Linked DNA regions of Lonchura striata. The protein of the gene in region 1 interacts with the protein of each later gene in a pairwise test. Links are inferred from orthologs where the notes say so. Each region holds a gene or a part of one and is shown on either strand. Other genes may lie near its edges. The genes, in order: ZNRF1 and ubiquitin-conjugating enzyme E2 E2.

Evidence for each region.
Region 2: the proteins of ZNRF1 (region 1) and ubiquitin-conjugating enzyme E2 E2 interact in a two-hybrid assay, tested with the Homo sapiens proteins (2 studies listed by BioGRID and IntAct). The link is inferred for Lonchura striata from reciprocal best matches to the Homo sapiens genes ZNRF1 and UBE2E2.

The regions. Positions count from the first base shown.
Region 1 is NC_134615.1:15,814,943-15,831,575, reverse strand, and holds the start of ZNRF1 (E3 ubiquitin-protein ligase ZNRF1), read left to right. Parts: upstream 1-10,260; 5' UTR 10,261-10,292; coding exon 10,293-10,737; exon of another isoform or gene 10,738-10,754; intron 10,755-16,633. Other genes in the region: GATOR2 complex protein WDR59, read right to left, coding at 219-304, 3,414-3,549, 5,130-5,179, 9,336-9,389. UniProt on the Homo sapiens protein: E3 ubiquitin-protein ligase that plays a role in different processes including cell differentiation, receptor recycling or regulation of inflammation. Mediates the ubiquitination of AKT1 and GLUL, thereby playing a role in neuron cells differentiation.
Region 2 is NC_134603.1:119,103,328-119,119,419, reverse strand, and holds the start of ubiquitin-conjugating enzyme E2 E2, read left to right. Parts: upstream 1-7,143; 5' UTR 7,144-7,432; intron 7,433-12,073; exon of another isoform or gene 12,074-12,078; 5' UTR 12,079-12,086; coding exon 12,087-12,262; intron 12,263-16,092.

The DNA.
Region 1 (16,633 bases):
GCTATCAAGGGCTAAGCTGATAAACTGGGGGAGCCATGAGAGGGTGAACCACTTCACACATGACATCATCACCAAATGGGAAGGCAGTCCAGTCCAGAGAAGTGAGTAAAAACAGGCTCAGAGCAGAGCCTGAGCAGGGCCAGGACCAAAACATTCAGCTTCAATGAAACAATGCATTATTTTCCACTCAGCAGACCACAGCATTTTTTGCTCTTCACCTGATCACACGTGTGTGTCCTTGCAGAGATGTGCAAACTTCCCCATTACCTTCCTTCCACTTATACAGGTCAACGCGCTGATTGCTCTGCAATTAGATGGAAGAAAGGAGAGACAGTCTCAGGCCAACAAGGTAGAACACAGATCTGTGTGTTAGGAACAGGTTCCCTTCACTTTGAACAACCTCAGTTAACAATGAGTCATGCTGTGATTAGCCAAGTCCTTGCCCAAAGCAGGAGAGCAAAGATGAAATACAGGCTGCAAGGACTTTCAAAAGCTTACACTTTAATTACACCCACTTAAAACTTGAGATAAACTAGAAAGGGAGGAAAAAAATCCCACACTGCAAATTTTTTCCATGAAATTATGTTCTCAGAGTCTTTATTTCCTAACAACATGCTGTAACTGCAGGCAACAGGCAGACAAATTCTCTCTGCAGGAATACCCTGTCAGTCTGTCGAACTCACAAGTGGAGGTTTTGGTGAGGGGGATGATGGATTACCACTGGTTATCCTCAGCTCTCTCTCAGTTCCCTTCTGGGATAATCAGGGCCATTGCCAAACACAAACAATACAGTCTAATGGCTTCAAGGACACCTCCTCAAGGGTACTCCCCCAATCCTTGCCAGCCCAGGAGAAAAGCTCTAAGTGTTTATCACTACCTGTAAAAAACAATGGCAAATCAGATGTATCAATGACAACTTTGGTCAGGGTTCTTTCACTCATTCCAGGAATAAAACCTTGCCCAAATGCAGCCACATGCAAAGTTACTTGAAACTAGTTATTGTGCTGTAAATTCATGTTCTGTCTCAATCAAGGTTCACTTCAGGCCAGGCCAAGTCTAATTTTTCTGGGACTGGAATTGCCTTTGTGGGTGCATGCAGAGTGCCAAGCACAGTTGATCATGACTGGAAATTCTTGCAGATTTTGCAAAACCTGAAAGAACATGACCTTAAAATATTTTCATTAGCCCCTTGTTTTCAGACTTTTAGGTAGATGAGGCAAAAGATAAGAGACTTCGCAGAAACACACAGTTGTTGAGGTTGGAAGAGACCTCTAAAAGCACTGAGTCCAACTGTTACATTACAATTTTTGTGGCAGTTATTTTTTGTGGTGGTGAATTTTCTTCCTACCCCAAAGCTGCTTCGTGTGAATTTCAACTTGCAGATAGATAAAACATTACAGTTTTCTTTGAAATAAAAGGTCTCATCCCAGCTCAGCAATAATATATGACATTTCTCTAACTGCTCTCACAGCAGGGCTGCACAATAGCTTAGGGCAAAAAAAAACTGCTTGCATGTTTCCCATTGACAGAAGTATTTAAAGGGTAGATTGAAATTACCCAATGGGATTTACCCAGGACTCCAGAGACAAGACACAAGATAATGATCACCAGAGAGACTGCTCCTCCCAACAGGAGCATTTTCTAAAAAAACTGTGATTTTCGTTAAGTATCAGTATTCACTTCCAACAATTTAATCACCCTCTTCAAGAATCTGAAAAGAAAAAACAAGGATCTAGGATTGAAAACAACACCATTTCTGAAACAACAGTTTAGGAGTCCCCAAAAATGTGCTTGAACCACAGGGCAGACACAGCCAAGCATAGCAAAAGAACTTGCTCAAGCTCTTTTGGAAAGAAGCTAAACACAAGGACAGATTCCTCTCTGCCTGTACCACTTCCAATTAACAGAAGATGCTGCTGGCAAACAGGATGGCAGCCTTTTATATCCTTTTTCCATCCACAGGGATGCAGAAGGGGAAGACCCTTGGGCTGTTTACAACACAGTGAAATGGCTTGAAAGGTGGTATTTTTGATCCAAACTGAAAAAGCCGCCTGATCTCATCTTGGGGATTCCTCAACCAGTGTGTGTCAGCAACTATGTTTAAATCTTCATTGTATCTTTGTTTATAAATAGAAGCAGCAAGGTTTGATGCCAGCTACACCGCGTTTCAATGTGGAACAACTGTTCCACACTGAATCCATTCAGAGCAGCAAGAGGCAGGAGTGCTCAGATGGGTGAGATGGGCACAGCTCCCTTTTGCAGCAGGATCCTGCTCAGATCAGCATGAACTCATCACTGGATATTGTCTTCAGAGTGTGTTTGAAAATAAGCTTTTCTGCTCCACTTGTGGCCTGCCCAGTGCACTTCCTTACTTGGTTTTGGTTTCTACAGACTGTACCCCGAAGTGGCAATGAAGGACACCTTTTTGCCAGTTTTACTAACTCTCTGCTCAGAAGCAGACTGTTGCTGAAGGCACCTTTAAGACATCAGTCATGTGTCAGAGCTGAAAAGTGACAGGCTGGGGAATGTCAGAGAGCAAACAGGGTCCCAGCTGACAGCACCAGTCCACTTTTAAAACTGCCTTTAATTAAAAACAGCAAATCCAGGAAGCAAAAGGAACAAAAATCCTAAGAAATCACCTCCAACTAGGTGTTTCTCAAAAGAATAGATGGAGAGATTTCTCCATCCCTAGCTAATCCAGGACTCTCAGGTTATAAAAGCAGACAGCACAGCAGAAAAGGCAGCTCACTCTGGAAACAGTCTGCACCTGGCTGGTGCCAGTTGCCACGGTGCTGTGGGTGATGGCCGAGATTTCCATTGGCAGAGCTCAGAGCCTGGGGTGAACAAGCTGCAGAGCATGACAGACCAAGTACAGAGCAGAGCTGAAAACTGCACTCAGTCTCACACAGCTATTACTGCTTCTTCAGCCCAACCCACTGCCTCATGGAACTCCTCACTCATACAGTCCATACCCAGCTGCAAACCCCAAGCTACAAGCCAGTATTGACCTGTGCTATTTACAGACTGCCTGGTGCACCACAGCCAAGCAGCAAGGTAGGGAGGTGAAAACAAAACAGCAAAGAGCAAGAAATTCAAGAAGTGCACAAATCTCAGACTAGAAATCAGAAAGAGAGCACTTCCCTCCAGAAAAGAACCATGTGGATGCTTGATTTATTTGGCAAAGCATTTTGTAAATGACAAGCAAGCAAAACTAGATGCAACTAATAACTGAGAGCCATCCAGCAGAACACCTCGCTGGCAGTAAATCAGAGTTAGGCCTTGATCTTGCAATGTGACTTGCAGAAGTATGTCTGTGCCAGCTCCACACAGCCTTCCAGCTCTGCAGAGGCTCACCCATGAAAGAAAGACCAGGGAAAACGATGAGTTACAGCTTTTAAAACGAGTGAACTTACTGAAGCTGCAAAGTAGTAGGCGTAGCTGTCATGGGGGTTCCACTGCACCGCCCCAATGTCCCACTTGCTCTGCCGGGAGATCTTCCGGTGACCCTCGTTTGGTGCATCCAGGTTGACGATGTAGAGGAAACGGCGGCTGCAAGACACACAGACACAAAGGGGCTGCGTCTCACAGGACTGACCTCAAAACCCCAAGCTCACACGGAGATTACAGCCTTGTGTCTAGAGGCACAAGAAGCGAAAATGAAGCATTTCATGAGACAAGTGAAAACACTATACCTGAAAATAGTGACTACATTCGACTACCTACTTCAAAATATACTTAAAAAAAACCCACGACCCCCCAACAAAGACAAGACACGCTGAAAATAAACAGGATCTGCAAATGTCAGATACCTTACACCGCAGAAAAACCCAGACAACTTGGATACAAAAGGAAGCTCTGGAAAATGGTGCAAACACATTCAAACAGGCTTTGCAGGCCTAATGCTGCAGCAGTAGAGCCTAAGTGGCACATGCTTGGGAGTGCAATTCAACAGCTTCAGCCTGAATAGGTTGCTCTGAGCAAGAGTTAATGAGCCTTGACAAAGATTCTACGTGGGTGCTTCTTTCCACACCAGTCTGAGGGCTTGGTTCCACCAACAGTACAGAAACACCTGCACAGAGCTCATGTTCAGCTGCAGCAGTTTGTTAACGTGGGTGGACACAGTCCTGCACAGATTTGGTTCCATTACTTACCTGAGCTAACTCTATTTGCAGCAGAAATAATTCTGCGTGGTGGCAAACCTGAGCTTATACATCATGCTGGATGTGGCCAACTCCCCACAAAGCAAGGTATCATTCTGTGTGATTCATCTTACAAGCAAGAGAAACTGCCCAGAAATAATTGTGAGCTAGCTGAACCCTATGGAGGACCAGCATCAAAACATAATGAACCCTACATAATTACCCACATGAGCATCATCTCTCAGCTGCAAAGTGACCATACAGCTGCTCTGAGCACTGGCCATTCCTCCTGTTACTCCTGTGCAGCACTGCCAGACTAAGGGTTGACATGGAAGCAAGCACTGCTTCAACCTGTACCAAAGGCCTCGGTTCCTTGAAGGCTGACCACAGATCAGCTACACTCACAAGATTCTGAAATGAACATCTTAATTGGTGTGTCAATTGTGTCACTGACAGGGGGACAGGAATAGCTGTTAGTACTGAAAAGCATGAGCTGGAAAGGCACCGATGAGCTGGTTGAAGACTTGTTCTGGAGGTGGATACATAAGACCACACTCTCCCAGAAACTTGGGCAACTTGGAAGTCTGTGGCACCTACTGTGTCTGTGAGTATCATCCCACACTGAACCAGCAGAGAAGCAGGTCAGACAGCCCCGTGGGAATATTTGACACAAGTTTTGTTAGGAAATAATCTAATTGTATTTCAAGACAATCCAAATAGTACTTCATGATGCTCCATCTCCTATATGGGGATTTGGGAAGGAATTTACCAAGAAAGCCACACCAGTGTTTTATTGTGCTCTTGTTGCTGTCTCAAATCTGTATCCCATAGGGAACATGACCCAGAATCAGTTTCATTAAACCTTGAACAGAATGCAGCTGCACCTTTCTGAAACAATCCATCAACCCTCCAGCTAAGGTCAGCCTAAAGGCTGCTGGTCTGGCTTGTGGAAATGACTGTCACACTTCCAACAGGGACTGTCACACTCACCCCGAGAGCACAGCACGCTGTCCCAGGCAATCCACTGACATCGCAGTCGCCTGTTCAAGAGAAACACAGAACAAAATTAAATCATACCTGTCAGAGCAGCTGCTCAGTCAAACAAATGGCTCTAGGGAGGAGTTCAGGAAAGTAACATCCCCTTAAAGTAGCACAGAGGGGCAGCGGGTGTAGTGATTGATTCTGGGATGCAGGACAGCACACAGAAACATCTCTTAGCATCAACTGAAAACAAAACCTGGCAGACAACATCATGAGCACTAAGACCTTGCTCCCTTCTCCCTGCCATGGCAATCACAGCTGCAGCCTTTCCATCAGCAATCTCTAATAATCTGTATTAATCAGCCTCTGCTCCTGCTCAGGAGCTTTCTCAGTCTCTTTCATTGCAGGGACAGATTTCATTATATATGTACTGGGAGACAGAAGTGCAACCATTTGTGTATGGCTGGTCTCCAAAAAGGAGAGGTGGCCAAGAGGCATCAGAATTGACTTGACATTGCTTGTAAAGAAGGCTATGAGATAACTTAAAGGACATTAGGAAAAAAAAAAAATAAAAGGACTGTTTGGATATTGTCTCACCCTCTTTTTGTGCAGAATGAACTGATCTTGTTTAAATGCCAAGAGAATAAAGGAAGACTTTACTTGGAAAGCTGAACAGTTCAGCCCATAAACATAGATATGACTGCAATAGAGTTTTGAGCATTCACAGTGCAAAAATGAGAATATGCCCCACATTCTTCACACTAACTGCTGTCATCTTCAAAGCCACCTCTCTGAAGGCTCAGGATGTTATCTCCTGCTGCTGTTCAGGATTTTAAGTGCTCTCAGCATGGATGTAACAAGACTTCAGGATGTCCCACAGTTACTACTTACAAGCATTACTAAAACCTGACAGACAACACAGAACTACCACACCATTTCAGTCAGATCTGACAGATCCATCACAAATTCTGAGCTTTTTCAGCCAGGGCCCATCCCCTCCTTGCAAATACCCCAAGTGAGGGTAAAACAGCATCAAGGACCCATTCTTCTCTAGAGACCACATGTCAAACAGCTACTGCTGCCTGCAGAGCTTCTGCAGGAGCTCATGGTAAACCAAACCCTATTTCTCCACTTTTACTGTTCCAGGAACAGCTCCCTTTCATTACTTTTTCCCTAGGCAGCAAATCCAATCTTCTAGCAAGGTCTCCCCAGTCCTAAAGCTAATGTTGTAAATAAACAGCTAGTTTTAAGATCTCTAAATGATAAGGAAATAATTCCAGCTTTCTAGACTCCACAGCACCTTGCAAAACACAGAATAAAACCTGCAAAAAGTAGGTTACTGAATCTATAGTAAAAAAAAACCCAAAAAACAAAAAACAACTAACCAAACAAAACAAATTATCTGAAGAAAGAAATTTGCCCAGATGGTACACATTTTTCTTCTGAGAAATTAAAATGCAGATCACTAAAGCCACTACAATAATCAGAGTTTCTCATGTGATAAAGAGCTCGTCAGGAGAAATATTTCATACAGTTGGAGCCATCTTTCTCAAGACAGAAAAAAAAAAAGATTGATAATTTCCTATACAAGTTTATTTTTTCTAGTCTTAGCACCAGGATCTCCTAAGTCCTTACAAATTGTTTTCAATAATGAACACTGGTAAACTGTTTCTTCCAGGCACCAAGCATCATAAAATAATCAGAATGATGTAAAAAGTTTCACATGTCAGGCTGCTACTCTGATGGGTCACAAATTAAGTTGTTTTACAGCAACAAACAGTTCCCCATGATACAAGAGCCTTATCTAGGCACAGGAAAAAAAAACAAACTGCTGTCATTTAATGCACTTGGTATAGTGATATGTCAGTCTTCACAGCACAACTTTCCAGAAGGGGGGAGTTGAAACTGAACAAACCAACCCGAAAGCAGTTTTTGTCCTAAAACAACACTGTGGATAGCTAAAACTGCTGTTCATGAAAAACAATGACATCAGTAAGCACAGCAGGAGCACTACACGTTTGAGAACCTGCTCTGAACCCACAGTCCAGGCAGCATCTTCTCAGACTTTGAGCATCTACTTTTGCATTTTGCTTGATTTCTGCCAGGCAAGCCAAGGGAAACTCCTTTTCATGTCTGAACTTTCATTAGTTTTCAAATTAGCTTCATTCTCTCCACCTGAGAGGCAACACACCAACCCAATTTGACATAGCTATGGTGGTGTTTTTCAAGAGCTGCAAACTCTTAACAAGCAATACCAATTCCCTGCATACCTAACCTCCCATCCACACGAAGTTGGTACAAATGGTTCCATTTCAGCACTGGGTGAGTTTTGGTCTCCTTTTGATAGTGCAAACAGCCCAAGAAGAGCCTGTGGATCCTGTTCAAATCAATACACAGAGTGCTACCTCTGTCAGCTTGTACAGAAAAATGACACTTGTAGGTACCACAGGCCTCAAAACACACAGTGATTTTCTGATGTGCTACAGGTTGGGTGCTGTAGCTTTCGCATGACACACTCTAGCATGGTGAACAAAGACAACTGCAGGGCTCCCAGAGGTGTACTGGCTATAAATGTAACACCTGCCCACTCTTTTGATTCTTGTTTCCATTTAAGTTGTTCTTAGGGTAGAGATTTTGGAGATAGTGTGGCCTACACACAGAGCTCAAGACTGGTACTGGATGATTTCAGCCAAGGTGCTCCAAATTCTCAAGCTCAGGCTTCCCACCTGCAAAAATGTTTTTGCAGACTGCTTAAAAATAAGCTCAGACACAAATATATAAATGAGTTTAGCCTGAAGCAGCAGCCTGGCAGCCCAAGCCACAGCAGCGCTCTGGTTTCATATGGGATAGCAGGCAGGTCAGAACAGCTCCAGGAAGATCACACCAGAGTAAAGCAAAGTGACTGAAACCCCCAGGCTCACCCTCTGCCAAGGCTTGTGCCAGTGCAGGAATGACACTGAAACCAACTGCTGCAGCATGGGGTGGCAACACCTGTCCCTTCTGCTCCCACACAGCAGACATTATGAGTAAGCAATAAAGTCATGAGGCCTCCTGTCTTCTGAGCCAGATGCAACATGAATCTGTGATGTAGGAAGATGTACCCTCATATCTCATTACTGGTTTCCTGAGGACAAATCCTCAGTAGCAGACAAGGCTGCTTTAATGCTTCTGGGAGGAAAACTAATACAAAGCTTTTGAGGCACAAAAGTGAAAAGCTTTGTGAGCTTACATAGGGTAGGCTGGATGCAGAACACAGGATTCAAATCTTCTGTTTGCAATGGAGAAGGCAGAGCCCTTACTGCTCCAGCACAAGAAGACAAATGAGACAAAACAGCTTCCAGACCTATTTTTTTTAATCTTTCTGGCTTTCCTGCTGAAGTATCTCATAGTTCCCCCACTGTATCTAGTTTTGTTAAGCTATTGCCAACACCATAAGACCCTCACATTTCTTAGAACATAATCATAGAATCCTAGAATGCCTTGGGTTGGAAGGGACATTAAATATAATTTTGCTCCAAATCCCTCTCACGGACAGGAACACCTTCACTAGGCTGCTTCAAGCCCTGTCCAGCCTAGCCATGAACACTTCCAAGAATGTAAGAACAACTTCTACAACAGCATGTGAGCAAACAAACTCTGAGCGGAGTTCTACTATCACCATCAGCTTCAAAAACAAAAGCCGACCTTTTTACCATTTACAAAAAAAAAAAAAAAATACAAGCCACTTTTTATTTTAATCAACAACACTCAGCAATTTATTTGTCAGTGAGACAGCAGTAACAGTCTCCGTGAAAAGTGACAGAAGCATAGACCGGTTTGGGTTGGAAGAGACCTTAAAGCTCCTCTCATTCGAACCCCCTGCCACACGCAGGCATCTTTCACCAGCCCAGGCTGCTCAGGGCCCCATCCGCGCTGGCCTTGAGCTCCTCCAGCAAAAGGAAATGAGGAAAGACGTGTGGGAAGTGGCAATATCGTATGTTAGGCCTGAAAGTGCATTTTAAAAAAATACAAGACCTAATTAAGATTAGAAATTAAGTGTCCCGTGAATTAAGGCGTTATCTCCGCGCAAACGACTCCGGACCGCCTCAGCCCCGAAAGGCCCCGCGGGGCCGCCGCGCCCTCCCGGGCCGGGACCTCCCCCCGCTCCGCTCGTCACGGGCCGGCAGGGGGCTGCCCCCGCGGCGCGGTGCTGCGGCAGCCCCCGGGCCCTCCGACCTGGGCGTCGCGGAACTCCACCACCACATTCTCGCTGCTCCAGCGCGCCGCCATCTTGGGCCGCCTCGGCGGAGCCTGCGCCGCGCCTGCGCATTGCGGCGCGCTGTGCGGGGACTGCTGGGAGATGTAGTCCCGCCGCTCACCACCCCCCCCCCCCCCCACCTCCCCCGGCCCGGTGAACACGGGCAGCGAGTCCCGTGGAGCCGGTGGGGGTCCCACGGCCCGAGGGGGGAGTCCCCGTGCGGGCCCGGCCTCTCCGGACGGGCTCTGGCCGCAGAGGCCCGGGGGTGGTCGCAGCCCCGCTATAGAGCAAGATATGTGCGTGGCGTGGGTCGAGGGTTGTGCTCCGCGGGGCAGCACCCGCTCGTCGGTGCGGCGGCGGCTCCGCGTCCCGCGGCGGCGGCGAGCGCAGCGCCGGGCGGCGGCGGCGCAGGGGTTAAGGGCGGCGGGCCGGGGGGGCCGGGGGCGGGAGCATGCGTGCTGCCGGCCGCTATTGTCTCCGGCGCGGCGCCCAGCACCAGGCGGCGGCCGCAGCGAGGCCGTGCCCGGCGCAGCGCAGCGGAGCGGGGCGCGCCGCCCCCGCCGCCCCCGCCGCCCATGGGCCGCAGCTGATCCGCGCCCGGCTCCCGGCCGCGCCCCGGGCACCAGCGAGGCGGGCGGAGCGACCCTGCCGGCGTCCACCCCCCCCTCCCCCGCCGCTCCCTCCCCGCTCCGCGGCCCCGGAGCCCTCGGCGGCCTCCGCCGGGGGTGACGGCGGTGGCGGCGGCGGACTCGGGGCGCCCTCGCCCCTGCGGGCCCGGCGGGGGGAGGATGCCTGGGGCGGGGATGGGTTTTCGCCCGTAGCTCCCCGCGCCCCCCCGCTTCCTTCCGCCCCCTCTCGCCTCCCAGCGGGGGCGGCGCGGCCCCGTTCCCCGCGGGGGGCTGTCGCTCGGCTCCCTCCGGCCCGGCGGTGCCCACATGGGGGGCAAGCAGAGCACGGCGACCCGCTCGCGGGGCCCCTTCCCGGGGGTGTCGACGGATGACAGCGCCGTGCCGCCGCCGGGAGGAGGGGGGGGGCCGCCCCCCTTCGGCCATTACCGGGCGGGCGGCGGCGGCGGCGCGATGGGGCTGCGCAGCCGCTCCGTCAGCTCGGTGGCCGGGATGGGCATGGACCCGGCGGCGGCCGGCGCCGTCCCCTTCGGGCTGTACGCGGCGGCGGCACGGGCGGCGGGGGAGGCCGAGCGGGCCCCGGGCGGCGGCGGCGGCGGTCCGGGCTCCGACTCCACGTACGCCCATGGCAACGGTTTCCAGGAGACGGGAGGCGGTCACCATAGAGACGGGATGCTGTACCTGGGCGCCAGGGCCTCGCTGGCCGACGCGCTGCCCCTTCACATCGCGCCGCGGTGGTTCAGCTCGCACAGCGGTGAGTGCCGGCTCCCCGAAGCCTTCCCTCGGCTTCCCCTCCCTCCGTGGGTGCTCGGGGGCGGCGGTGGGTGCGGTTCAGCCGGGAACGGGGAGCTGACCCCCTCCTGGACCCTCATCCCCATCCCCTCCCTGGCACAGACAAGTGGGTGCATGCTGGAGCTGGCATCTGTGTCAAGGTCAAGGGAGGAAGGGGCTGTGAAGGGAGGAGGCTTTCTAGAAGGGAGGTGTTTTGGCTCTGGGATATGAAGCAGTGGATGTGGCACCCCCACCCCATCTTCCCTTGACTTGGAGGATAGTGGTCTTGAGGGTGCTGTAGCTCAAGACCTTGAGTTTTGCAACCAGGCTGAGCACCCTGTGTCTCTTCTGAAGGTGTGTGAGGGCTGCCAGTCAGTTGTAACAGTTCCCAGCCTTAGAAATTGGGAAAGAATTAGAGAAGGCCTTTGAAAACAAGGTGCGGGGATCTTTTTTTTTTCCATTGTTTTGTCTGTTAAAGGGCCAGGGAAAGGCCAAAGTGGGTTTTCTCTTTCGAGCCAGCTGGCAGTGTTGTGGTGCTTAGGAGGAAGCAGAGGAGGAACTGCCTGCCTCTTTGACAGGGCTGGGGGGCCAGCTGGGCTGTCTTGCAGGAAACGTGTCAGGCTATGGGAAGGGGCAAGGTTGCCCCCTTCACCCTCCTGGCCGGACTCTTCCATGTGTGCTGGTGTCTGGAGAGGAGCTCTTGCTGCAAGCAAGGCTGTGTCACTGACCCAGTTTTGGTTGGGTACAGGGAGCGAGGTGGGAGGTCCTCCCTTCCCCTCCTGGCTGGAGGGGAAGTAATTTCAGAGATGTCTCCTTGTGTTTCCTGGAATAGTCTGGGATTTCTCTCCCACCCGTCCCCCTAGCAAACGCTGTGCTCTCCTTGTGTGACGTGGTCTGGGAATTTCATAATACGCCTTGGGACAATGCCTCATTTTCAGGAAGGCCTGTGACCAAAGCAGTGGGTAAGAACAAAGTGCAAGAAGAGTCTCGTGGGGCCCATTTTCCTACTTCTTGGGGAAAAAAAAAAAAATCTTGGGATTTTTTTCCCTTTGCCCATTCTCCAGGGGCTGCTCTTCTCTGTTAGATGGAAGCTGTGTGTCTTGCATTGCCCCAGGTCTTATTCCTATTGATCTGGATAAGGCAGGCGCTTGCCATCCTCCCTGGCAGATGGAGAGGGCTGGCATGTGGTACCAGAGTTGAGACCAAGTGCTCCTGCAAACTTCCTTGCTCCATGACCTTGCACAGACTGTGCTGCTGCTCTGGTTTCTAAATGTAGAGAGAGATGAAGGCACAGCATCCTTCCAGGTATTCCACAAGCCTCTCTGGGAATGAGGGCCATGGGGGCTTCTGCTGTGCCTGGTGCTGGTGTGGGGAGGGTCTCATTACAGAAACACCCTGCAGCTCACAATGGTTTGTCAGAGAGTATCAGTTACATTTTAAACTTCAATTCTGAGGGGCAAAAACCTGTTCAGAAAAAAAAAAAAAAAAACAGCTGGAAAATGGACAAAATGGAGTAAGCTGTTTTTCAGCCACTTAAGTGAGTTAGTGCAGTGCTGCGAAGTTAAACACGGTGCCCTTGAAAGATTGCAGCGTGAGCTGTGGGAAGTGCTGCAAGAACTGGGTTTCTCTGGTGCCTCTTTTGGGGCCCTCTGAGAGCATTTGAGCTGAGCTGAAGCGTGTGCGGGCAGCAGCGAGAGCTGTTCAGTCTGTACCAAAGCCTCTCCCGGTGGTGGTTCTTTGTTGCTAATTAACAGCAAAAAGGAGTGGAGGATGCTTAAAAACCCTTTTGAAAACTTGTCAGAGCTCATTTAACTTTTGCACTCTTCTTCTCTTAGTGTAAGAAGTTAATGAAGGATTTGGAGACTGCAGGGAAGGGGGGAAGTAAGCCACCGCAAGATTGCTGAAATTCCTGTTAAACTCCCGTTGCAGCTGGTTAACCTCCAGCAGGGCAGTCAGGAGCTGCTTGCGTCTTCCCCCCTGCCTCCCCATCGACCTGCTCCTCTCGTGGTGCTGAGCCACTCCATTAGCCACTGGAAAGTGCTGAAGCAGCAGTGCTCTGGTAAATGGAGAGGAGCTTTGACATTGCTGCGCGTGACTGTCCCTGCTGCCTTTGAAGGATGACTCGAGGGTGGGGATGAGGGGACCTGCCCCTGAGGATGAGGGGCTGAGTGGGTACCAAACCCACTCAGCATGATGCATGGCATCTCTGGGATCTGCCTGAGCTGCTGTACTACTGAGGAGAGGATAAACTCTGTAGATAATGTGGCTGGAGAGTGGATTCTTGCCCTGCCTGTCCCTTTCTGGAGATCTGCATGGTGCCATTCTCTGTGAGTGGGTTGCATTCATGTTTTTCTGGGTTTGGGGGATGAGCTGGGAGCTCAAAGTGCAACCTGATCTCTGTGAGCTACTCAGTGGGACAGCGAGGAGCTCTGACTTGAGGGCAGTGATAAGGTGCTGTTGTTGCAGCAGAGTGCCTGTGATAACAGGAGCACACAGATAGTCTTGGCGCCTCGCTGCTTCCTATATCTGCCATGCAGAGTTTTCTGCCTCTCCAGCCTGCTTCATGGCTCATCAGGCCCCTCAGCAGGGATCCTGAGGAATGAGCTGGGGCAGGCTGAGTTCTCTTCCCTGGTTGGTGTCACTCCTTCCCCTCCCTACAGGTGAAGGCCTGCAGAAGAGCTAGGTGTGCCTGGGGAAGAAGAGAGGAGGATTGTGCTGAGGATTGTACAGAGGGAGGTTGCAAAGTAGTCCCCAAAACCAGTGAATGCTACAGCATCCCTTTAAGGTGCTGTGCATGGGACTGGTCAGTAAGAAGAGCCCACTGCTGAATCCCTCTGGGCTGGACTATGGCTGCTGGGATGCCTAAATTGGAGGAGCAGTTGGATACTGATGGCCTCTAGCCTGTCCCAGGGCGAGCGCAGGAGAGCTGCTGCTCTTGTGAACAGTGAAGCCTATGTATATCTTCCAAATGGGGTGGGCAAGAAGGTCTGATGGTGGAGCTTGTCCCTTCCTTTGAGTGGACAGCACCTCTGTGGATGAGTCCTGTTTCCTGATGGGGATTTTCCCAAGGCATGACTGCCATATACACAAGCAATGTAACTGTTCTGGGATTCCCCTGTCTGCCCAGGGTTTCTGAGATCTATTTCTTGACCTCCATAAGTGGAAAAGACACATCTTGCACAACTTTGGAGTTTGCCTGTAGCACTTGACTCTGCCTCTTCAGTTTTATGACTATTTAGGAGTTCTCAGTAAAGCCAAGGCTGGCGAGAAGAAAGGAGAAAAGGGAGATGTGTAGTTTAGTTCTGCATGTTTCCAGCTTTGTGGGTTCTCTTAGTATCTCTCATGTTATTCATCAGAGGATCTAAGGGAGTTTGCATAGGCTGTAAGTAGCTTAAAGTTTATCTGGAAATCCCACTCATCACCCAAAGCCCTTGAGTGTTTGAAGCTCTAATAAATCCATATCTCCTTGTCTGCTGGCTAGCCCAAGGAAGCGCTTAGCTTATCCTCCTGTGCAGTGCCACCAGGAATGTCACAGGCTTTCTGTGCACTGACAAAGCAAGCTGTTTTTCCTGGATGTTGGTAGTACCAATGTCAGGAGGCCTTTGCCAAATGAGCTGCTGTGTTCTCAGCAAGCTGAGAAGAGGCCTGTCTGTGGTGAACCCTCGCTGTGCTCCGACAGCTTTAAGTCCTGAGCTTTTTCTCACTAGTGCCTGGCAATCCTTGCTCTTCAGATAGTCCTGCCATTGAAGCCTCTACACCAGAATGAGAAGGCTGAATTGTAGCTCGCTAGTCAGCTGCTCTCAGCCCTGGCTGTCCTGACACCAACTTGTCACCAGTGTGTTCTGGCAGCCAAAATGAGCCCACCGTGTCCCATGGTGTATCAGGCACAGCACTGCCAGCTGGTCAGGGGAGGTGATCATCCTGCTCTGCACTGCTGTGGCCTCACTCCGAGTCTGGTGTGCAGATTTAGGTACCACAATACAAGAAGGATATAAAGCTGAGAGAGAGCATCCAGAGGTGGGACGTGAAGATAGTGAAGTGTCTAGAGGGGAAGCCATATGAGGAGCAGCTGAGGTCACTTGGCTTGTTCTACCTGGGGAAGAAACTGAGGACAGAGCTCATTATGGGCTGCAGCTTCCACTGGAGGGTCAGCACCAATCTCTGCTTTCTATGACCAGTGGCAGGATCCAAGGGAGCATCATGGAGCTGTGCTAAGGGAGGTTTACATAGGATGTTGGAAAAGGTTTTTCCCCCAAAGTGTGGGTGGGCACTGGAAAGCTCCCCATAGAGCAGCAAATCTGACAGAGTTCAGAAAGTATTTGTACAAGGCTCTCAGGCACATGGTGTGATTCTTGGGGTTGTCCTGTTCAGGGCCAGGAGTTGGACTTGATGATCCTTGTGGTTCCCTTCCAACTGAATCTCTGTTTCAACATGCAGACAGGCATCATATGTGCTTCCCTCCCCACTTCCAGGAGCTAGGCCAGGGGAAGGGCACCCCAAGGTCTGCATGAACTTGCCATTCTGAATCTATTTTTGCTAGTGGAAATTTCCAAAGATGACTATCCTCAAACCATCTTTTTGTGGGTTTGGTGCTGGTTACTGTCTGACAGCCGGGTCAAGCACCTGCACCACTGCCAGACCTGTGGATCATTTGGGAAGTGGGTACAGAAACGGTCCTGATGACTCCCCACACTGGTGATGTTCAGCTGTTGGGCTCTCCAGGTCTGGAGGTGATGCTTTTCTGCTTCTGCCTTCTCTGAGCCAGCTGCCAGGGCAGCATCCACCTGGGATGGGGGAAGAGGCAGTGGCTACCTCAGAAGAGCAAAGTGCTAAACACCTGAAGATGGGAGACTCAAAGGCAGCTTTAATGCACACCAGAGCTGGAGATGAAGTTTAAGTACGTCGACGTTGGCGTTGTGCGTGAGAAGCCGGCGGTGGCGGCAGTTATCTTCAGTCTCTGCAGCGAGAGCGAGTGCAGGCTGTCTCTGCGCTGCCTTGCCTCCCCAGTGCCCTCTGAAAGCCCGACTGCTTTCCTCAGGAACGAGGGCACTAATTCCTGTGCACATTAACCAGGCTCTCTGCTCTATAAACCTGTGCATAAATCAGCATAGGGTAGCTGGGTGCGCTCTCCCTTTTCCACACATGTGTCTTCTAGAGATGCTGAGAATGATGCTCTCGTGCTTCTGGGCTGACCCACTTCCCAGCCAGGATTGTCTTCCCAGCCTGTGACGTAAGTTTATCCCATGCTGGTTTGTTTTGCTGAGATGTTTGTTCCGGTGACTGGAATAACCGTAAAGGCTTCTCTTATTTATTAATGTGCTATTAAAGCTTCTCTCTCCTCTCTCTCTCGTTCACTGGCCAGAGGATCAATCAGATACAGACATCTTTGGTGGAGGAGCAGTATCAGGTTGGCGCCTGGCCAAGGCAGCTGCACAGAGTCATGGGAAAGTGCTGCTAAACGCTGAAAATTAATTTCAAGAGAAGCGCAGGGAGGGAGAAAAGCCCACTTCGGAGGAGGAGAAAGAAAAGCTTTTTTTCCCCTCCCCTCCAATGTAATATCTCATGTGACAGATCAGACAGGCAGCAAAGGGCTCTTCAGATAAATTCCCTGTGCAAGGACAAGCCTTGTGGTGCCCCAAGCAGATGGTGGGCAACCACGAGGTGCATTTCGTGGCATCTGCTGCTGGTACACCAAAACCCCAGATGTGCTGAGTACTTGGTTTTGAGTAAATGTGAGCTGGCTTTCTCCTGGTTCCCTTGAAAACTGAAATCATAAGGGCTTGGGAATGATGTGCATGAGCAGCCAAGTGATGCTGTAAAGCAGCAGGCCCTGATGCAGAGCACTTTGCCCATCTCCTTTGGCCTGGCTGTACAGTGGG
Region 2 (16,092 bases), on another chromosome or scaffold:
TTTTACAGCATCAATAGATAGAAATTGCAACAGATATCAAATTGCCTTGGTGGGCCTAGTCCTCAGCCATGCTATGAGTTCCAGTTCCAAAAATTTGTCAAACACAGGAAAAAGAGACAAAGAGAAACTGTGCTGGATTCTCTAATTACTTTCCACTTTTTCAAATTACCTGGAAAACACAAGAAACATGCACTTTGCAAAGGTAGAAATGCCTATGTAAGATGCAAAGCTGGTCTAAATAAGGGTTCACTTGGATTAAAATATAGGAATAAATACAGCTATAGAGGCTCTCAACTGAGTTATGACGTCAAGCAAAATTCCTTCAAATACCCATTATGACAAGATAAAGATATCTGAGAGTCCACTTTTGTGCAGCTCAGGGCTCTGAACCGTGGTAAGGACACAGGAAGAAAGTCTGCTTCCTTAGGGAGTAGATATGTGTTCCTGTCTTGTGCTTTCCGGCTTCCTAAAATAAATGTTTGCTTCACCTGTGTCCTCTTCACTGCATCTCCATAACTTTGCAGTCATGGGAACAGTTCTGAGGTAATTAAGAGAGTATGTCCCTACCCTGAAGTTGCTGCACCCACTGCTTGCTTTGTTTCATGCAGTTGAGGAAGATGAGCACTTGCTCTTTTGATTCCTGCTCCCTGAAGTTCTACAGATGTAGCTTACGGAAGAGTAGACAGAAGTTTGCCAGGTTCTGCCTAGACCTATGGGCAAGATATTCCATTTATTCCCTGCCATAGTTACCACCAAGGATGAGACTAAAGATATTTGACTTTTTCTTCTTTTCTTCATCCTCAGACTTAGGCCCTGGCAGCTGCTTTATTGGCACCAGTTGTGTATAAGAGTCCATAAAGCAGAAGGAATAATTTAGGTTTATCAAGCTGCAGACATTCCCCTTCATCCCTTCCAATTACAGCAGAGATCAGGCTCTTTGGCTGGGATTTTCAGGAAGCAAGTACAAAATGTGACTAGTCTGACTTATTAGTTCAGGGGACTTCCACTTCACTGGGGGAATCCCCGGTAGAGAACATGCGGGTATTTTCCACCGTATACGAGGCAGACAATCTGCTTCAGATTGATTGTGGTCCTCTGGGTTCCTGAAATTTATTTGGTCACTCTTATTGAAGGGACTGAACAAGCCTGCTTATGGGGTTTGGTTTGCTGTGGAGGATGCAGAGCCTACTCCCTAGGCATGCATTAATAATGCATTAAACATAGAGAACATTAGCCCACATTCTTCTGGAACCTTAACTTTATTAAAAGGGAACATGAGTGCCCACGGCTTCTTTTTCAGTGTAAAGATGTAACTTTCCCAACAGAACCACAAGAGATCCTCAGAATTTTACCCATCTTTAATCAGAAAACCAAGCTCTGATTCTGTGAATTAAGATATTACGAAACCAACAGAAAATAATAGGAACGCGGAGGTGCTGAAGAGAGTGTGGAAGTAACAACTAAAACACCCCAATTTTCTTTTCTAACCTATCTTCACTTTTCAACATTCTCTCCCACATATGGTGATGAATTAAGACAGGCAATGCAGGGAATTCTTCCAGTTACAGGTCAGTGCATTACAATAGCTCTGGAAATAAAGATTTTTCCCTTCAGTACATGCAATATGAGATTTTTAAAGCAGTGGCTATGTCTAGGATTTAGTTGTCAACAATTTCTGTGTAGAAACTATCACAGAATTATCCTATGCAATTACTTGCACTTAGGCTCTAACTGAGGCTCTAAACCAGCACATAGAAACGAACCTCTGTTCAGGACATTATGCAGTTAATTTATTCCCTCCCTACCTTAAACAAAAATACAGGCTTTCATTAAGGACACGGAAGCAGGTTATTACCTCCCTCCTACCCACTCCTAATATGTTTTATCTTTATTCTTTACAATCCTGGATAGCAAAGCAGCTGAGAGCCACCAGGATTTCTGATGCCACACGGTTATTGTCTCAGTTGTTTGTTCTGGTTCCAGCCGAATGATAGTGGGAGCTGTTCTGCTTCTGAGCAAAGGGGAGGAGGAGCTGCAAATTCTTCGTTTTTTAGGCTGGAATGAAAGAGACCTTAAAAGCTGTTTGCCACACAACTTACAACTCCTTTTGTATTTAATGGCCTGGAAATATTAGAGTGAATAAATGCTAATGATTTGGGGGTTTGCAGTATTGTAGAGCAAATAAAGAAGTCAGGCTAGCAGTAACTTGCCTCTGTGTTCACACAATCATTTTACTTCAGAATGCCATGAAAATAATTTAAACAGACTTCTGTCAAGGCATTGTTTGAACAATAGGCTTACTTAGTTTTCAGGATTCAATCAATGTTTTCCTTGATATAGGATGCCATTTTTTATATGATGAGGACATACACAATTAACTGAAAACTCTTAAGTAAATTTCTGCTGCAGATATCTTCCTTGCTATGCCACTTTATTCTACACGCTGATAGAAGAGAAACAAAAAGAAGAATCCTTATCTCTGAATCACTCAGAAACTGCATTTTCAAACACAGCTGGCACTTCAGAGATCAGGGTACCTGTGAATTTCAGTTTACATTTGCCAACAGACAGAGTAGGATTCATCCATGCAGCAACAAAAGCAAAGTACAATTGTAGAAAAAAAAAAAAATAGATATAGTGTGAGAATAAACTATCTACAAATAGGAGAAAGAGAATTACCAAAGAGGGAAAAATAGACAACAGGCTAGATCCTCTGAATGGTCCTCACAGATTTATGTCATCATAGTAGTTTAAGGAAAACCAGCTATGGGAGAAGAATCCTGGAACAGCATGAAGCTACTGCAGAAACTCCTCATTCTGTGCTCAGGATGGAGAACCAGACTGGGAAAGAGAGGACCTGCTGCTGAGAGCTGCCTGCTGTCCACTATCCAAACAGCCCCACAGGGCCCAACTCCTAGCAGGGGAGGGATGGGGGGAACAACACAGGCTTCAACAGCTGGAGCTGGAATCAGGTAAGAAATGAATAAAGGCACCTTTGTCCCCATTCCTCCAAACTTCTGCTGATAATAGTTCAGATGGATTAAACAAACTGGCTCATTAGGACTTGGCTGAAAAAGATTGATGTAACAATCAGACACATCATGGACAAGTTAATATTATCATCTCACTTTTTAATATAAAATAATAAAGTTTTGAAAGAGAGATATGCTGTCACAAGAGAGATAGTTATGTCTTCACCTATACCACAGCTGAGATGATTTCTCATCTTTTCTCTACCTTAGAAAATCAAACCCTTTTTTCTAGTTACTACTTGACAATAGCGTTCATTCAATGACTTTAACAGTGATATAAAAACATGTCCTTTTAAATGGGAATGAACAGTAATGCATAAATAGAAATGCAGAAAAAACTCAAAAGTTGCATTTTCCTATTTCTTTTCTTGACATGGAACGATATTTCCCTGTTTTTTTAACTAAACAGAAATGGATAAGACTCACTGTAACTGAGTACAGCTCTCAGTATAGCAAAAAAAAGTTTAAAAACCTGAAAAATTTAAATAGATCTATTACTTCTTTAAATTAAACACTTCTAAATGGAAACTTTGCTCAGGTTTCTCCAACTTCATAGATTTTGACTGACATATCTGCCCTTGTAACAGACACTCAAATCAAGAACCCTTAACAAAAGTGTCCTTAACCATAATAGTTTTAAAGCATGACTGCCTGTGCTAGGTGAGATGAACTCTGGCGTGTCTCCACAAGGAAGCTCCCAGTCTCTATGAGAGTAAAGAACTCATGTTGCTTGCTTTAGATGTGTCTGGTGGTGTAAATAGTGTCAGCTTTTAGAAACCAGACAAAGCCAAACATGGAGGGAAAAAAAAAAAAAGTGTAACTGTGTGCCTTAGCACTCCAGCATGGGTGAAATCTAACACTGAAGTATTGCCACTCACTTCAAAAGGGCCAGAATTCAACCTATAGAATCCAAATTTAGAAAAGTCTTCAAAAGATTTTGAGCAATATTATGCCACCTTTAACATCTGAGGGCAAAACACGTTATTTTGAAAGGTCAAAAGGATAAAAGCGGGAGCAGCTGACTACCCTGCCCTACTCTCTTTACACTACATAGGTAGGGCTCATTCAAAACCTCTGCTTTTAAAACAGGGCACACCTCAGTGTGTATTTTCTATTCATAAGGCAGTACAAACCTGCCTAGTTTAGTTGTCCTTAAATTAAGCCCTACCATTCAGGGCTCTGGGCCAGAGGTCAAACACCAAAAGAAGAAATCAGGGCCTGACTCGTGATGACTCAAACCTCTCACTCGGTGCTCAAACACTCCAGCGCTCCCTTGATTATTTTGGCATTGGGAAATTATGACCCAGATTCTGGGACACTGTATGGCCCCATCCTGCCCCTGTCTCAATTAGGCTATTCACTCAGCTTTTCTCTCTGTGCTTCCTGCAAATCCTAGCAGAAAAGATCTGTAATGAAGCACCATGAACTGCCACCAAAGAGAGACCTCCTGAGATGGGCTGAGGAGTTAAGACAGATCAATGTATGCCTCCTTTTAAGGCACCCTTAAGCCATCAGAGCAACATTAAGGAAGTATGGTTAGAAGAATCATTTAGAATTGAATTTTATCACTTCCTGGATAGCTTTCAGGGGGTCTGTTTTCAAATGACTGAAAGGAGAAAGCATGGTTTAAGTGATTTTAGAAAAGGGAACCATGATGTCAAAAGTGTACAATGCACCTTTCAGCACAATGAGTAACATTACTTGCTGGAGGTTTGCATTTTTTGAAGGACTTTTGCACTTCATATTCTATTAATTACTTAATTATTAATTCTTCCGAGAAGTCAATGTATGCTTAGCAGATAGAAACCCACCTAGATGACATTAGGAGCTTTTCTCCATCACAAGCAAGAAAATATCTTGTAAATGCACACGGAATAGGAAGAACTAGCTGACTGTGGTATTTTTAGGTTTAGGTGAAAATAACACTGGGATTATTTAGCAAAGAAATAGGAAGAGGAAATAAACCAAATAATTTAAAAACAATTTCTCAACAAAGAAAATTGTTGATGTTCAGGGTAACTGCAGAAATCACTTCAGTTATCTGGATATAATACGAGAGCAGGTATCAATGATGTTTCTAACCCTAATATATCTCAGTAATGCTTCAAGTTCTCAACTTCTGTATGTTTGGTGGCACAGGCTCCACCTACACCTCAAGCATAAGTCAATAAAAATACAACGCTTCGCAGTTCAAGCAGGGAAAAACTTTTCCTCCTACATGTGGAATGGTGAGAACACATTTTATTTTTTTAATCCCCTTTAGTTGTTGTTATGTGTAACATAGATAATTTGTGCCTGTAGAATGATAATGATGTAATGTTTTGTATTATTTAAAAAAGCATACCAGCCGGTACTAGGGGGTTTGCCTCACATATGTTGAATCTGTCTCTGATAAGACCTCATTACAAGTTAATACATGTAGTTCATCTGGAGATGGGTTGTTTCTCAACGTAATCCAGGAAATCCCGAGTGATGATGGTCCCAACAACAACCCAAGACTGCAATCACTGGAACCACCCAAAAGGATACATCTCAATACCATGTTCCCTTCCTGGACACCGAATTGTTCAACTCAGCATAGAGAAAAGAGACTTTATGAATATGTGGGACTTTGAATGGAAAGAAAAGGCTGATCACTGAAATCCTGGCCTCGAGCAAAATAAACCATATAAAAGTTGCTCGCACAGAACAGGTGGTGCGAAACATAGGGGGATCCTCTGCTGTAGCGGTCAGCACCACTTCCCAGCTGTCTGACCCAGCGCCGATCCCGGGCTCGGCACTGTCCGTTTCTTTGTGGCTGGCTCAGACAGATTTCAATTGCTAAATAAAATCAATTTTTATTTTTAATTCGGCTGGATTAATTTTTTATCTATAGCAGTTATTAAAAAAGGGAAAACATTTTGACTTGGCAATACCTCTTTACCCTTGGCTGGTAGATTTCCCTGTTTAAGGAAGAAAGGTTTGAGGTGATAGTTTACATAACATACCTAAGCATATTATGTAAAGATTAAAGCAGCAGGGTCGGCACAGGGACAGAAGTGTCTCACTCGCCCAGCGCAGTCCGGGTTACCTGACAATCAGTTCTGCTGGAGGTTTGTTTTGTTCCAGGTTAATATTCGCACTAAACAACTAACATTTAAGTGCGGCTCTGCCTTGGCCTCTCCCATTCCTGACCGCGATGCTTTCCACAGAGGCAATGCCCGCCTGCGTGGGAGGTGAGGTTCATTTACCTGGCCACAATCGGGCGACAGCGCCTATCTCCAGCCGGGATACCGCACGTCACCGGGGCCGCCGGCGGCCCGGGGCGGTTTGTGCCCCGGGCTGTGCTGATGCCACGGCGGACAAAACTAGCGCGGTAACACAGAGTGTGGCCACCAAGTGCCGAGGCCCGGGCCCTCCCGCAGGCCGGCCGAGGCACCGCGTGCCCCGCACCGCCCCTCCCCAGGTACCGCGCCGCTCCCCGCCCGGGGCAGCGCCGCGTCCCGCCGGCGGCTCCCTCCGGCTCCGCCGAGACAAAGGCGCTGGGGAGCTGCGGGCCGCCGGGACCGGGGAGGGGGCGGCGGAGGGGGCCGAGGGGAACAAAGGAGCCGAAAAAGACGAGAAGAGCCGAGAAAGTTGATGCCGGCCTCCGCCGCTCCCTGCCCTGTCCCGGCCTGCCCCTTCCACCTCCCGGACTTTCGCGTGGGGGCCCACGGCAGCCCGGCGGCGGCAGGGAAAAAGGCCGGGTACCCTCACCTCCATCCCCCCCGAATCCCTGGCCAAAGGTCCCGGCTCACCCCATCCCCTCCCGCCGCCTCCTCCTCCTTCTTCCTCTGCCCCGCTGACCCCGCCCAGCCCCCGGTGCTTCCCTTTAACGCGCGCTCCCGCCGCCGCCTCTTGCCCCTCCCCCCTGCCCGGCGGCGCGCGGCCTCCGCCGGCCCCCGCGGACGCGCGCCCGCCCGCGCGCCCATCCCGTCACTTCCCCCCCCGCTCCCCCGCCGAGGCCGCGCGCGCCCCCGCCCTCCCGCCCCTCCCTCGGCGGCCCGCGAGCGCCCGGAATAATTGGCTGGCGGGCGCGCGCGCGCGCGGCGCCGGGCGGACGGGTGGGGGCGCGCGCGCGCGCGGAGGCGGCGGCGGGGGTGCGCGCGCGCGCGCGGCAGCGGCTTCACTTCTCTCCGGGCAGCGGGGGCAGGAGCGGCGGCGGAGGGAGAAGCAGCCGCGGCCGTCGCTGCTGCTCGGGAGAGACGGCAAAGGGGAGAGGAAGCCGAGAGCGAGGAGCGCGGGGCAGCGGGCTCATGACTCACTGAGCGGCTGCAGCCCCTTTCCAGCCCCGCGCCCGGCCGGAGTCGGGGCGCCCGCGACGGATTGTCCCGCAGCCTGTGCCCGGCACCAGCGAGAGAGAGACCTGCGCTCGCCTGCAGGTAGCAGCGGCTTCCCCCCCGTCTCTGCCGGGGTACACCTACCTCTGCCCCGCCTGAGCTCCCCGTCCTCCTCCCCTCCCCCCGCCGGGCTCCTACCCCCATGTCGCTCGCCATCCCTCCCCCACGGCAGCACCCTCTCCCCCGCATTTATCTGCGATCCTCGGTCTCTACCTTTATCCTTCATCTTCCCTCCCTTCTCCGCATCCCCCTGGTGCTGCCTGGTACCCCCTTGCCCCCCTTGTCATCCTCGGCTGTGCCCTTTCCTAGCAACCGTCCCGGCCGCCCCCCCCGCCGCCCCCGGCCACCTCGGCATCTCTGGAGGCGCTCCTCGCTCCCCCAGGCTCCATCCAGCCTCCATTGCTCCTCAGCACCCCCACACCCTTTCAGCAACTCTTCCGTGTCCATTTGTCCTGCTCGCCCTGCTGCGGGCGGGAGCGGCGACCACCCCCGCTCCCCACCACCCCTCCGGCCCCGCTCCGCATGGTCCCCGCGGCACTCTCTGCGCCCCTGGGGGGCCGGGGTACCCCCTGCCCCCCACCACGATCGAGCCTCCTGGGATGCGCTACCCCCACGCCCCCCGCCGCAGCGGTGGGCACCCCGGGCTGGAGCCCCCCGGGAAGGGCACTACCCCCCCCACCCCCGCGCCCCAAGGAGCCCCGCAGCCCAGCCCTCTCCCTTCTCGCATGTGCCCCCGACGTCTTCCTCTCGCAGTCTCCTCCTCCTCCTCTCCTCGGTTGTCTCCTACTTCTCACCCTAGCCCGGCCGCCGCCCGCGCGGCCGTGGGAGTGCGGGGGGTGCGTGGTTCTGGGGATGCTCGCGGCCCCCACCCGCTGCCTACGGCGGGGGATTCCCGACGGGAGAGTCGCTCCCGTGCCCACGCGCGGCCGTGGGAGCCCGGAGCTGCCGTCCTGTCCCATCCCATCCTTCCGGGTGCCCTTCTCAGCGGCGAACACACCGGGCTCTTTCTGCCTCCCGTCCCGCGATGCTGTGGTCTTGCCCTTTATGGTTTCTAATGAAGATGAAGTAAGGCGGCTGCTGCCATTGCTGCTCGTGGTGGACCCTGCAGAAATACTCAATTTATCTTGGCTTATAGGAAATTACGAGCGCTTTAGAAAGACATCATCACTAGCTCTGCCGCCCTTGGGACCCATCTGCACGTTGCCAGGATCTTGCTGTTCCCGACTGGTGGATTTTTTTTTTTTTTTCCTGGCGTGTGATATCTGATAATGACTGGTGGTTTGGGGTATTTTTGTCTTTTCTTTTTTGTTGTTGTTTTTGGTTTGTTTGTTTTTATTGTTGGTTTGTTATTGTTGTTGGTTTGTCTGTTTTTATTGTTGTTTTTTTTTTTTTTTTTTTTTTTAGTTTGAGGAGGAAAGGGAAGGTGCCCGTGGATATATTTGACAAAAGCAAAATATTTTGGATGCCCTTCACTTTGAATTGATAGTTGTAGTTACACTTGTAATCTGTCTCGGTGCTGATTCATCTCACGTTAAGGGAGAGACTTTTAAGTCCCCTTTCATTCCTTCCTCTGTCCCCTCTGCTCATTTTTCTCTGCACAACAGCAGGGAGGTTAGCAACCCTTGTCTGAATGTAGAATAGCCTGGCAGCCAGGAACCTGGACATCGTGTGTCTTTCCTCTTGCCCTGTGTGACAGTTGCAAACACACTTATGGCTCTTCAGATTCAAGGATTATCTTGTATTTCTGTCTGTGTTGGTGGCAGTGAAATGTTTTCTTCACAGTGTCATCCTCTCAGTTGACTTTTTTTACCCCAGTCTCTTACTTGGTCATATGTTTATGTGTCTTTTAAGTTTGACCCCATTAGAAATGTTTAATTTCAGGCCCCTTAAAGCATGGTTTTAATGCAATTTTGAGCATCCTTTGAGCAAAACTCCCTAAAATTGCAGGTATTTTGAGGAGAGTGAATAGAAATAATTGCCTGGATGTCAGAAGGGGGAACAGAGACAGAAGGAGAAAGGGGGGAAAAAAACATCCAAAACCCAAATCTCCCCCCCACCCCTGCCAGAAACTAGCCAGACATCAAATGACAGATTTAAACATTTTCCTCTTGTAAATGCTGGTGTTACATGTTACAGTAATTATATGCTCTGGGCTACTGTTACAGTATTTATCTGCTGGATAGTAACCTGAACTTAGGAAGTGAATACAGTTGTTTTTTGGATAATAGTAATATTTGTAGCCAAGATTATTCATAGCAGATGTCCTATGCATATAAGTATTATTAAATATGCTTTTAACTTTCTGGCCTGCAGTGTTGAAGCCTATGTACATTGTGAAGAGAGAAATTTTCTCTTTAAAATTAGATGTATTAAGCAAGGTCAGAAGTAAAATCTAGGGCAAATAAAGGCCAACATAAGTGTTATAAAAAGAGATGAGGTTTATGTAGAAGTCAGGAAAATGGGTACTTACTACCAAAATTGCATTAAAGTTGCATATTTTGACTTGTCAGAATGTGACACTTTTGTTGTTTATTACCTCTAAGCATTCTGCTGCTTTACCTTGAAATCACACAATAGGATTTAAATATCTGAACATCAGTCTGCGTAAATTTATGGACTATGTTAAATGTATTGTTACAGCTGTACTGTAGGAGAAATTGTTCTCTAGGAGTGGACAATTCTTATGTTTTAATTTTAGGGCAGAAATTCTAGATTATTTCAGTTACTTTAATGAGCAGGTTAGGTCTTGTGTGTTTATATATATTTAGATGCAAAAATACTATTTTCTGTTATAAAATCAAAAATGCAGCTTAAGCGATGAAGGGAAACTTTAGTCACATATTCATCACTTGGTATTGCTTGCTGTTTCTTTTAATGCATAAACATTTTGAAGGGGTGCCATACTTCCAGAATTCTTTTTCAGTATAGCTTCACAAGATAGATGAAAAAGACCTAATTCCTCCTGAAGTTAGTTGGATGTGTCAATAATGCCTGAAGAGATTATTTCTTCTGCTCCATAGTGTGTATTATTTGATAGAATTAGATCTTGGCAAGGTTTTTTAGTATAGGAGTAAATTTATTTCTATTTTGTAACAAGAACACTTAGGCCTTTTTAAAAAGCATCCTTTTCAACATAACCCTATTAGCATTGATATTAATTTACTTTTCCTTTGCTGTCTCTTTCCATAAATATGTACAGGGAGATGAACTTTGTTTAATACATAGAACAAGCATGGTTGAATCTGAGCCTGAAATCTCATTATTCTCCCTTGAGCGAGTCTTAAAACACATAATAGTCAAGGTGAATAGGTTTGTTCTTAATTGTGATGATGTCTGTACATAGGTAAGAGGAAAAGCGAGTCGAAGTTCACAGCAATTTGAAACTCTTTGTGTATGAAAGAGCAAATTCTTAGTTCAGACAGATTTGATCAGAAAACCACCCAGATATACAGGGATTGTGTGGGTGTAAGCAAGTTAACATTTGGGCCTGTCTACTTTTTATTAAAAATCTCTAGAGAAGGATATGTAACACAGGTGTATAAGGTACAGATTTGGTGTTAAAGGAAAGACCTGGGTTTCACTTTGGTTTTAATTTGGTTTTGGCTTTGTTGGTTTAGGTTTTTGGGTTTTTTTTTTTGTTTTTTTTTTTTTTTTTTTTTTTTGTTTGTTTGTTTGTTTGTTTTGGTTTTTTTTTTTTTAATCAGTTAGTGCCACCAGATATGCTAATTCAGTAAGAGTTTTTCATGGACATCTGCCCTTCATTAGAACAGTTTGAGAGTTTGAGATGTCATGACAGCTGTAACAGCGGGCTTGTAATTCCTCATCTGTTGGCGTATTGTTATACTATTTAAAATGAAGGAAGAAATTAAAATAGCTAACTAGTATCAGAAGTGTGCAAATAAAGCATCAACTTGACTTCTGAAATATGCTGAGATTTCTTACGGCTCATATTCTCTGACAAGTTTGTTGCCTCATGTTGCCTGAATGAAATGTCAGGAAAAACTTTGTTATATCCTCTACCAATGTGCTCACTATTTTAGTAAATACAAACAGTCCTGTGTTAAAGCTTTTTAGTTCTGTGTTTCCATCAAGCATGCCAAGATGTGGATTTTGTAATGTGGAAACCCACATTGTACACTTGGAATGAGCCCACAAATTTATTTCATATGGGATAACAGAGAGTCCTAAGATACTAATAACTCTCCGTTTTTAGCTAGCTGTGGTAGATATGAACTGGTGGCATAGTTGATGGGACAGCTAACTCATGCCACTGCTGAGTGGTTGAAAAACATAATTCACAGTGAATGGTTTTACACTTTCAGGATTATGTTTCCCACTTAACTTCAGTAACTTCTGGTTTTCATACATATATATATGTGTTTGTGAAGAGTTTGGCAGGGGGATTGGTTTGTGTGTTTGTTTGTATTATTTGTTTGTGGGTTGGTTGGGATTTTTGGGGGGGTGGCAGTGGTATAGGGTTTAAAATTGCCAGTTCCTGAATTATTGTTAAGATGTTTGTGGCAAAAACTCTTCAGTATGAGGATTATTGAACTACTGTGATATAAACATTATTTTGTTAGGACAGAGACATATATCCCATGTGTTCTTTCCTTAAGCATGTAAGAAATACAATGAGGCAGTTGCTCCTCAAAAAACTAACTTCAGTTGTTTGTCTTTGTTCAGTGCAGCATCTGCCATGTCTACAGAGGGGCAGAGAGTGGATGATAGCCCAAGCACTAGTGGAGGTAGCTCTGATGGAGATCAGCGTGAAGGTGCTCAGCAGGAACAAGAAAGGGAGCAAGTTCAACCAAAGAAAAAAGAGGGGAAAATATCAAGCAAAACAGCTGCTAAATTGTCAACTAGCGCTAAAAGGTACGGTGTTCTTCCTGACTGTTTCTTTCTTTCAGCTGGTCATCAGATCCATGTATTGACTCAGTATATTAATTTTCTGATTGTTTTATTATAACACTACTGTATCAGTGTAATAACCTTTTGAGACTGGTCACAATAATGAGACCTGTATACTTTTCCCTTTCTTTGTCCGTTTGCCTCTTTCACATGGTTTTAATAGTTGCTTGCATGATAAAAGCTGACATTTTTTTATTGCTAATAAAACTCAGACAGTTTTGTAGCCTTATAAAATATATCTCTGTATATGTATGTATGACTGATGTTGAAACTTGTCAGTGTAACTTACAGTTAATTAGCCATAAACATTTCAGACAGTTCTGTAACTCAGCATGTTAGGACTACCGTAATACCTATTGCCATGAAGTACTGCCTTTTCTTTTCCCAGATGAGCAGGTCAGAAATACTTGAGTGAACAACAAATGTATGTTGGTTTCATTACTTTAAACTGTGATCTGTTTTAATATCCATTTATTTTCCCTCCCTTTTCTGACTGAGATGAAAGGTTGGTTTGTACAATAGCTGTTTAACTTATTCTATGCTATCATGTCCATCTCCAGATAACGGTTGTCTTGCTTGGACCAGACAGAAGGAATTTACAGTTTAGTGTTTCTTTGCTAGTACATGTAAGGTTGTTACTCTGGGCAAGTGGGATTATAGTGATTGAAGTTAAAAAGCACTCATAAAATAATCTGACAAGAGACCAATTCTGCAGACTGTCCTGATGCAGAATTCCCAGATCTCATTTCTCTGCTAGTCCAAGGCAGTGTAAACTACAAGAGAAAACACTGAAATTGTACCACTGTGGTAAAGGAGAAGCATCAAGCCCCTTCTGCCATAATTTATAACGTATGCATGTAGTCAGAATCTGTATGTAATACTATATAAACATGTGTGTATATCTAGTCAGGATTCAAGTCTTTGTTTTGCCTTAATCTGTCCCTAATCAATTAGACAGGGAAAGTTTCTAAAGTATCTAAAGTACTTTTCTAAAGTATCTTTAGATACTTTAATAAAGATACTAAAGTATCTTTGTCTTTCCAATGAGGTACAGCTATGTCATGCTTTTCTTCTGCTGTAGATTCCTTTCTTACAGCTAGTTTTTCTTCATTTTTAATTCCATGGAGAAATACTTTCTGGACACACATTCCTACTATGTCACTATTAGGAAATTACCTGGTCATATCACTTACAGAATGGCCAGCAAAACTTGCCCCAGAATGGCCAGCAAAACTTGCCCATGTTTCCTTTTACGACAAGAAGGGCAAAGAACCCCACCCAACTTTCACTACAAATCATGATATTATTCATGTAGTTAATCCTCACAGCCATAATGGTTTCTGGTCTTCTCTTTTGTCTGCTTCCTGCTATTATTATTTTTAAAATATTAGGAATATTGGATTAGATATGAATTTCAAGGTCATAAAAACAGTTTCAAGCATCTTTAGAAAGCAGTCTGTGTATTCTGAACTTTGTACAATGCCTGGTGTAATGATGCTACAATTCTGACAAGGGCCTGTGGACACTATCCTATTAAAAAATTAATAATGATATGTCAGAAATTGGTCTATTAATCTTAGCTTTGTATCTTCAAAGCTTAGAGCTTTTATCAACAAGCATTTTACAGCGATAAAATTACTTAAACCTTTTAAAGTTTAATCATATCTGCTTATGGTTCTGCTGAAACTAATTATGCCATCAGTTGCTGACTTCAGTACATTTGCCAGTTAGAATCTAAAGCTAATTTCACATGTGTAGTAATATTGATTATATATTTTAGAAATATACATTTGATTATACATTTTTAAAGCTGACATGACTTACAATAGTTCTGTAGATATGTGTACAGTATTTTTGAAGAGAAATGTAATTTAGGAGTAGCCCTTTCTGTGAGGATTTCAGAAACAGTTGTTGTAGTAATGGGGGTTTTTCTGTATCATTGTATTTTTTCTTTTTTTTTTTTTCTTTTTTTATTTTGTTTTTGAATATTCAGTAGATTGTAATTTTGTTAGAATTGGGATTGCACCTTCTCTAATCTGGCCAGGTTTTCATATTACAGGTTTTGTTTCTGTGCTTTTTAATTAAAATTAGTGGTGTCTCAAGAAAGCTAAATCTGAAATTAAAGTAGAGGTTAAAAAGGAGGGGAGTAGCATAAAGGAAGGAAAAATGTCTTAATACCCTCAATATGTGCTAGGTATTCCATAAACAGTCTGTATAAAATATCTTCATAGTAGTATTGTTATTTTAGTTCATTTTGAATGAGGAATAGTGTAGGATTAATAAGGCCTTTCTCTCATACCTTTATTACAGTGAGAGGAGTCAACATTGCTAAAAAATCAGTAAAACACTCAAACAACAGAGTGTAGTGCAGTTGTGTCTTTCGTCAAGATTCCTTAATTCCTGTTAGAAGCATCTAACACCAGCAAGGTCACTGGAGCTAAAGTCACAGACTACATGCTTCATTCTAACCTGAGTTTGGAAATCAGATTTTCTCACTTGGAAAGTTTTTTTGTGCACATGGAATTGTAGGCACAGTTTTTTTGGATTGCATTATACCTACTGAATATGGAGAGAGGTTTGTGTATCTCTGTTTGGAAGACTCTTTGTTTTGCTTTTGATTTTTATGCTAAGGTAGTCAGATTTAAAGAATCTTCAGTAGCATGAGGGTTTGTATAAATCAAGATTTAGCAGTGTGCTGACTTTTGGTTGTGTAACAGTAAACTGCTCCCATGTCTTATGTATGAATATACATTCATGCAGCTTAACTGCTTTCCAAAGTGATCTGATTACAGAGACTATGTGAAACCACTCATATTTCTATTTGAGTAAGATTTTTGGTATTGAGATACGAAGTTTTTTCTGTTAGCATTGCTGTGGATGGCACCAAGAAGGTAGAATGCCATCACATGCTGTCCTTCTCTGTTAATACTTCAGGACTAGCTGCTGTACAGGTGTAATAGCTTACAGCATATGTTGTGTAGTGTACCGGTCCTTCAATTTTCCTCACCCAGAGGGCATCACCTTAAATAGCAACCTTTCTTACCCAACATGTCAAGATTGAGAAACCTGCTGCATATCACAATTACAGTTCAGACATGGAATTGAATTGCTGTCCTTGAAAACAGCAGGCATCTTGTTACCTCTTAAGTAGAAAATCTTAGCATGACCTTTGGATTGAGAGAAGTGTAACCATTCTTGGCTGACATAGTAGTAGCTCAACAAATAAATGTATTGTTTTGCTTGGCTCCTGAAGTTGCTGGTTGAAAATCTGTAAACTTTTATGTCCAATCATGACTTTTTAAAATAAATATCTGTGCCTACAAGGAATTGTGAACTGTACAACTTTAGTTGTGATATTTTCATCATTCAAAGCAGTTGCAGCCCTAAGGAGGAGCAAATAAGTGATAGATGAAATTGGTTCAAAATTAAACAAAATTGAGCATTTCCCACTATCTCCTCTTTTTTTTGTTTTCCTGAGGGGTTTATCACAGAATCTGGAAATTATAATTAGCATGTTGAATATGATGGCAAAATATGGAGTGCTTTTTCTTACAAGAAATATCCTTGTCATTTATCCATAATTTAGTAAGTAGGTGAGAATATTTCTTTTTCTCCAGTATGAACCTAACCATCTTTAGATCAATTTCCTGCTCAGTCACAATTTATTTAGTATTGAAATACATACCAGTGACTGCATTTTTAAGTATGTTCTAAGCAGTATATTCTCTGGTATAGGGTATTGATTCATCTGGCTTTTATAAGTAGAGAGACATGTAGTTTAGAAAAGTGGATGT